Coturnix japonica: one gene and its partner. The protein of the gene in region 1 purifies or fractionates together with the protein of each later gene. This does not show direct contact. Links are inferred from orthologs where the notes say so. Each region holds a gene or a part of one and is shown in the gene's direction. Other genes may lie near its edges.

Region 1 (4,111 bases):
TCCTCTCCTCACCCCTTGGCTTCTCACCTGCTGTGACTCTGTCCCCTAATTTCAATAAACACGGCTTTGTTTGTAGGACAGGGGGTCGTGGTTTGTATCTCAGGGAAGGTTTCTTTTCCAACCTGTGCTGTTTGTGGTGTAACTTTACAACACCGCTTCCAAGCTGTTCCATTCTCACACAAGTTCTCCCCAACCTTTGGGTCCTGGAGTGCTTCCTCACATCACCTTCCCTTCCAAACAGTGTCCTGGTGGGTCTGACATCCCTGTGTGTCATCACAGCCCTATGAGGTGTGTTGGCTGAGTGCGGCAGCTGGGCTGTGCCCCTCGTGTGCTGCATTGGGGTGTGTGCTGATGGAAGTCTTGACTCTTTACAGTCATTAGCAGCTAATGTGGGAGATGCAGAGGGTCCATCAGGGTTTACACAGGGTATGGCAGCTGAACCAACTTCTCTTTTAGTGCTGGATGATAAATATTCCACAAATATTTATTTATATACTTATATTTATTACTAATGAGTGAATTGTGGCAGCTGGTTGCCTCCCAACCCCCAGCACTTCCCATGTTTAGTGCAGGTCCGGCTGGGTGAGGAGGATGCCGTGCTTACAGCACTTCAAAAGACACATGTGAGAAAGGAAAATGTAGGCGACCACCTGGAGAAACTTTTATTTCTTCAAGTGCTGAGTGGGGCTTGAATGAAGAGCTGAGCTCAGCTGAATGGAGCAGGCACAGAACCGTGGGATCGTTTGAACTGGAAGGGGCCTTAAAGGCCATCAGGTCCCACTCCCTGCAGTGCTCATGGACACCCTGAGCTCCATCAGTGCTCAGAGCTCCATTCCTGACCTCAAATGTCTGCACCAACTCCTCCCCGCTCTGTCTCCCCCTGGTGTATGGGGTTCCCTATGGCCGTACCTTGCCATAAGCCGCCTCGCTCTCAGCGATGCTGTTTTCCAGCTGCCGTTTTGCAGCCAGGTTCCGCGCCGTTCGCTCGGAGCTTCGGGCCAAGCGCTCTGTGAGCGCCGCGATGCGGCTCTGCAGCCGTTCTCTCTCCGCCTCCTCCTCCCGGATCCTCTCGCTCAGCTCATCCCGCCGTGCTCGGAGCTCGGCCAGCCCTGCTCGGACCCACCACCACCACCATCACCGTGTGAGCACCGGCTGCTCGCTGCCCCCCTCCCGTCCCCGCTCACCCACCCTCCAGCAGCGCAGCGTTGTAGCCCTGCAGCGTTTCCCCGGTTCCGCTCATCGTGCGGCCCCAACGGCGGCTCCGCGCTCCGCCCCTTCCTGCGGGACATGGAGGCGGCGGGTGCGGGGCTGTCGGCGGCGTGGAGCGCACTCAGTGCCGCCCTGGTACCGCCCGCAGCGCTGGGGCTGGTGAGCGGGGAGAGGGGGCAAAGGGATGGGGGGATAGACGGGACGGGATGGGGGGGTGTGGGTCACGGTGCGGCCCCAGCAGCGGGTAATGGGGGTAACGGTGGCCGTTGTGCGGGTGGTTGGGCTGAGCCCCCCCCGGCACATCGCTGCCGTGTGCGGGATGCGGCTTGTCCGAGGGCATAGAGGTGGTGCTGGTCCGCTCCGAAAGTGATGCCTCCTGTTGTGTTCTGTAGGAGCTGCGATAGATACAAAGAGATGGGAGCGTAAATAGAGCAAATTGGCCGGCACTGTGATGAACGAGAGACGTGTGCTCCATTCGCTTCCATGTCAGACTGCCCCTTGCTGCCGTACGTCACATAGCAGTAGTGTATTGGTGGGAGGTTCAGCCTCGGCTGCCGTCCTACCCACATCCCCCTCTGACACTGTGGGCCAGTACAATAAAATAGGAGGCATCACTTTCAGAGCAGCCCTCGTTAAATATGTAATGTAGTTAACATATACAAGCAACAGAACTGATTTTAATCCAGTAGCTTTGGGTCTGTGGGATGGGCACAGCCCACACGTCGAGGGTCCCCCCTGGTACGTGTCTGCCTAGAGTCAGAATGGTCGGGTTGGGAGAATCCTTACAGCCCACCCCCCCCTGCCATGGGCTGCCAGCCCCGCACCGTGCCCAGGGATGGGGGCATAAAGGTCTGGCTGTGTGCTCCGTGCTCAACCTTTCATCCCCTCTGCTCCCCAGGCAGCGGGGCGCTGTGACCCGGTTCGCCCACTGCAGGATGCGGAGCTGCGGGCCGCCCTGGAGGTGCTGCGCTGTTACGGGCTGCACGCTGCGGTGGAGGAGTGGTTCCTCGAGGTGCTGCAGACCGACCTGCAGGCACACATCGCCCCCGAGTTCTGGAACTGCGTCGGTCAATATGAGAACACGGCGGAGGAGCAGCAGTGCTCAGTGCTCCTCCTGGATGCGTTTTGTCTCCTCAAGTGCCGCCTGGAGCCCTACCTGAGCAGCATGGAGCTCCTGGAGGGATGCACCAAGGCCGGGCTGCTCCTGGGGACGGGAGCTCAGACGCTGCGGGAGAAGGTGTACACCATGTTCAAAGCCATCCTGTTCTTCTCCACCACCAAACCCTTCCAGGAGATGATCCAGCAGTTCTACAGCCGCACCTTCCGGATATACATGCGGCAGTGGAAGAAGGGAGAAGAGGGAATGAATGAGTGTGAGAGCAGCATGAGTGAGGCCGAGCAGGAGAGTGACACGGAGGAGAGCGGAGGGGAGAGCGCGGTGTGTGCGGGCTGCGGCAGCAGGAGGGAGCAGTGCTGGTGCCCCACGGCCATGGAGCGGTTCCGGCAGCTCAATGACATCCTGTACGTATGGCACAGCCAAGGGCAGGTGTTGGGGCTCTGAGCACTGATGGAGCTGTGGGTGTCCCTGTGCACTGCAGGGAGTGGGACCTAATGGCCTTTAAGGTCCCTTCCAACTCAAATGATTCTGTGATTCTATAACCCTATGACAGTGTTTCTGAAGATAGGATGGCAGCTGTGTGATGTGTTATTGCTGCCTGCAATCAGAGTGCTTAAATTAAGAGCACCTGCACAGCACATGGCAGCAGGTGTGCTCTGTTAGCTCAGTTTTCTCTTCATGCTTTTGCTTCTGCTCACTCACTCGAGGTTCTGTGTCTGCAGCCGCCAGCTCAATTTGCTGGAGAGGGTGAGTGCTGATGCTGTGACCACCATCCTGCACAGGATGATCAAGGAGAGGATGGAGCGACGCTGCCGGGGTGATTATGAGCACTCCTTCCTGAACGAGTTCCAGGAGGTAAGGGAGGCCCTGGCTATGGAGATGTGGAGCTGCTCCTGTTCCTGCTGCTAAATTCCCAACTCTGCCTCAATTCCCCAGTCCTGGACTGTGACTTCCACCAGCCCTGGTAGAAGAGGAGTGGTTAAAACTTTACATTTGAGATTAATGTTAGAGGGTCTGCTCTCTCAGTTGAGGGAACTGGGCTTGTTCAGCTTGGAGTAGAGAAGACTCCAGGGAGAGTCTTGCCCAGTGTCCTTCCTCACGCCTCCTCAGTTCTCTCGCTGCTGCCTTGCACTGAGTTTGTGTCGAGCTCTTTGCTGTGTATGACCTTAAAGCTCTTCTCAAGGTTACGGCTGCTCTGGGGCACGGGCTGTGCTCTGGGACACGGGCTGTGCTCTGCACACTCACTCTGTGCTCTTTGTTCCTTGATGCATGGCCTTACGTTGGTCTGCACTGACGAACAAAGTGTGAGGTCAGGTTGCCATGCGAACCAGGCAGCTCCGTGCTGTTGTCCTGGTTTCCTCGCTGTGTGCCGTGCTGGGCATTTGTGTTGTCTGCAAACACAGGCGGTGATTTGGTGTTGGCTTCCCTACAGTTGCTGTGCAACACTTTCTTCTCTGGCCCTGCTGTAAAGGGGCACTCAGAGACAAACTCCTGGGGAGAATGGCTGGGTAAAGGTGCTCCTCACCATCCAGGTGCTTTGCATCAACGATCACACTTCCCTTTTGCTTTTCAGCTTTCCCAGTACAGGTCTGGTGCTTGGGTGCTCTGTGCTGCAGCACATTCTTCTGCCTTGTGGTTCTATGGGCAGAACTCATGCACTCCTCCAGTCCATGGTCAAACAGCTGAGCATTAACAGCAGCACACCACACCTAAAGCTGGTTATCAAAACATAACGCCGCCTCATAACTCTTAATACTCAGGTGCTGCCTCAGGTGGTGTTACACA
Region 2 (3,515 bases), on another chromosome or scaffold:
TTATTCTGCCCATACTTTGCATTTCCCCTTAATGCTCTTTTATACCCCCTTTCAGTCACCAGAGAAACCTCTCAGCTCCCGAAAACAAAAGCATATCACAAATGCAGACAAACCCCTACGTTGGTTGGATGACAACATGATAATGAAGAATAAAACATCCCCAACCCATTGGGGAAAGCACGCTCCCTGGCGATGCCGCAGCTTCTAATTTGTGCAGTAATTATTGAAGCCAATTCAACCAAGCCCTGTAAAACTTCACAAGTGCTAAGCTAAGGACGGTATGAAGGCTTGCAAGATACAGCCCTGGAGGGCTGTGAACTCCATGATCATCTTCACCCATTTAATTTGACTGTCAAATGGAAGGCTCTGAAAAGGAACGGAAATCAATAGGTGAAGGGATTGAAATTTCCCTGCTCCCCCAGAGCATACATACCCAGCCTTCACAAGCTGACAGATCTTCTATAGGGAAAGAAGTAGCTCTCAGAGCAGCCAAAAGCAGTTAAATTGGATGTTCACCCCGGCCTGCGAGTTACCCAAAAATTAGCAGCTATTATGCACAGCAAGAACACCTCCTGCTCAGCATCTGCTGATACACAGCTATGTCTAGACTGCATTTATACAACCAGTTAACTGCAAAAGATACAGCACTGAGTCACCTCCTCAAAGACGGCAATGGAAATGGTGTCAGTGCCTTTAGTTTTGTGTTTGTTTGATAAATGAAGCCTTGTTATTCCATCTCCAAGCCCACAAGCCTTCACCTAAGGGTTCCTCAGGGTGTCTGCAGCTCCAGCACAAGCAGGAAGTAATCAGGTGCTCTCAGCATGTCTCATTAACCTCACCGGGCTCTTAAGAAAAGGATTTACTCACTCTTCTACTTAGCACCGCACTGCAAGGCAGGAGGGGGCTTTTTAAAGGGGAAAACAAAGGGATAACGTTCTTAGAGAGGCAAAATACAGACTGCAAGGCGCTGAGGGACCGCTGCAAAGTGCCGAAGCAGCCACGTCGCTGTGCGCTGCATCCATCCGCCTGCAGAAGGTACCGAGGGTCTCATTGACACCATGGGAGCTTGGCAGAAGAGTGGCAAGGAGCGTTAAGAGGGAAGCCCCGCGGTGAGGCTGTTGTAAAGGCCGGGCACACAGCGGTGCATACATACATACGTACATACATACCTCCCCTGGCCATTCCTCTGCATGCCTGCCAGCAGAGCCTCCATCACCCAGCGCCGGCGGGGTCAGCAGGGGGGAAACCACGCAAAGCAGCGGCCACCGCATCCACGGGCAGCGGGAGGGGAAAGGTGGGGGAAATAGAGGGGCAGCAGGAAGGGCAGAGACACGAAGTGACGGGGCAGAGAAATGGTTGGTTGTACGGAACAAGAAGGTACCGCACAGTGAGCGGACCGCACCGACCGCACCGAGCCCACCCGCAGGGCGCTGCCGGCCGGGGAGGGGAAGGAACGGAGGCGGCGGCGGGTGATGACGGTACAGCGGGCGCCGGAACATCGCTGCGGGATGGGGCGGAGCGCTGCCGGCAGAACCGAGCGCGTTGGGGCCGCTCGAGTCCCCGCGGGACGGGGCTGGTACGGAGCTACCTCGGAGGGTGAGGATGGACAGCGAGGTGCAGCGGGACGGCCGCATCCTGGACCTGATCGATGACGCGTGGAGGGAGGACAAGCTGCCGTACGAGGACGTGGCCATCCCGCTGGTAGGTGGAGCACAGAGCCACATCCAGCCCGGCCTTGAATGCCTGCAGGGATGAGGCATCCACTGCCTCCTTGGGCAACATGTTCAGTGCGTCACCACCCTCTGGGTGAGGATCCTCCCCTTCCCTGTTCGCACAGGTGTAAGCCGGCCAAAATCACGGCATCTGATAATGCCTGCAAAGAGACATTGCCAAATTGCAGTGACATCATTCAGCCCTTACAGCACAGTGTGGCATCACTCTTGGAAGAAGAGCAGCTCCTTCTCAGCAGAGGAGGCAGGAAGCAGCTGCCCTCCTCCAAAACCAATAATAACCAATGCAGCAACACGGGGAGCAAATAACACGAGGAAGTCAAATGAAATCGCATTTAAACTCTCCTTCCTCCCCCCTGCATGCTGAGCAGCTTGGTGTTGTATCTCCTGTTGTTACAGCACAGCCACAGCAGAGCTCCACATGCAGCAAGAGGAAGGATTTCTCACCTTGCCATAAGAAAGCGATATGTTACAAAGCCAGCTGTCTTAATAGAGCTACGGTAAATGCAGTATCTGTATTCTGGGCAGCAACAAAGAACCACAATCTAAACAAGCAATGGAATAATTGCACCGTGTTATTATTTACTTATTTTGCATTTTCTCTATATTCTCCTTCACTGCGTGTGCAGTCTGAGTACATAGCAAGGCCCCGGGGCCCTGGAAAGCCAATTTACCTTTCAGATGAAGCATCATAATCATATGAAAAGCACATTGTTCCTCCCTGGGCTCAGTAATATTTTAACTGAATCTGGATGTATGATATGTATTGTTCAGATGCCCCCTCCAGTCTCATTTGTGGATTTTTTTGTATTTATTCATAGGAAGTCTTCGTCACCAGCTCCTTTTTAGGCAGCTTGTTATGCACTGAATGCATTGTACCTTTTTTCTTCTTGTCGTTCTCAGAATGAGCTCCCTGAACCAGAGCAAGACAATGGAGGCACAACTGAGTCTGTGAAAGAGCAAGAAATGAAGTGGACGGATTTATCTCTGCAGTATCTCCATGAAAACGTCCCTCCCACAGGAAACTGATGAATCCGGGGGCATTTCACGACAAATTCTCTGTTAACTTATTCTTTACTTGGTGCCAATTCTGTTCTTAAGTGTTTTCTACACATGATAAAAAATGTGTTTTTTCACCATCTGGAGTTGTTCTTATATGTCAAAACTGGGGATGGGATGTTTGTGACCGTGGAGGTTTATGTCCCAAGAGGTATAACTGTGTTTTGTGTTAGAGTTCGCTGCCAGTGCTGACCACTGTATATTTACACGTTGTTTAAATGGTGCGATTTGTGCTCAAATGATGGTTACTCAAAATCCCTATTGGCTGAGCACGTTGGATGTTCTGTGAGGACATGGGCGCTGAGTAGGAGGATGCTTGGTTTGAGTGGCTGGGGCAGCCCCTGCCTGAGGAGTCAGCAGTGCCTGCTCTGAGCCAGCAGTGAGCTCATCTGAACAAGAAGGAGCTGCATGCAGCCAGCAGGCTGCTCAGGATTAACCCAAGCTTCATATGTACAGTATAGACCTTAGAAACAGCTACGCTGCTGGGAACTGTAATAGTTCAGCTCCTCGCTGTATCTCAGCAGGGGGCAAAACAGAGCTTGGGCTTAATGAGGTATTTCTGATCCTCCCCATGTTCCCTCTCCCTGCAAAGAAAACACTAGAAGCTGCGTGGTGGCTTTGTGTACCCAGCAGCCGTCTCTGTTCTCTCTTCCCTTCCCCTCTCTCACTCCATCACAGGCTCCATCCCCATCACACCAATTTTGCCACAGGATTTTCCAGCTCCAA

Evidence for each region.
Region 2: the proteins of ANAPC2 (region 1) and ANAPC13 purify together in Homo sapiens (affinity purification with mass spectrometry; 3 studies listed by BioGRID and IntAct, counting the BioPlex papers as one, with this or other methods). This does not show direct contact. The link is inferred for Coturnix japonica from reciprocal best matches to the Homo sapiens genes ANAPC2 and ANAPC13.

Annotation. Positions count from the first base shown.
Region 1 is NC_029532.1:1,027,305-1,031,415, forward strand, and holds the start of ANAPC2 (anaphase-promoting complex subunit 2), read left to right. Parts: upstream 1-1,266; 5' UTR 1,267-1,287; coding exon 1,288-1,368; intron 1,369-2,107; coding exon 2,108-2,730; intron 2,731-3,048; coding exon 3,049-3,181; intron 3,182-4,111. Other genes in the region: SSNA1 (Sjoegren syndrome nuclear autoantigen 1), read right to left, coding at 910-1,109, 1,189-1,240. UniProt on the Homo sapiens protein: Together with the RING-H2 protein ANAPC11, constitutes the catalytic component of the anaphase promoting complex/cyclosome (APC/C), a cell cycle-regulated E3 ubiquitin ligase that controls progression through mitosis and the G1 phase of the cell cycle.
Region 2 is NC_029524.1:2,642,846-2,646,360, reverse strand, and holds ANAPC13 (anaphase-promoting complex subunit 13), read left to right. Parts: upstream 1-1,491; 5' UTR 1,492-1,602; coding exon 1,603-1,701; intron 1,702-2,633; coding exon 2,634-2,759; 3' UTR 2,760-2,871; downstream 2,872-3,515. Other genes in the region: CEP63 (centrosomal protein of 63 kDa), read right to left, coding at 1,170-1,213. UniProt on the Homo sapiens protein: Component of the anaphase promoting complex/cyclosome (APC/C), a cell cycle-regulated E3 ubiquitin ligase that controls progression through mitosis and the G1 phase of the cell cycle.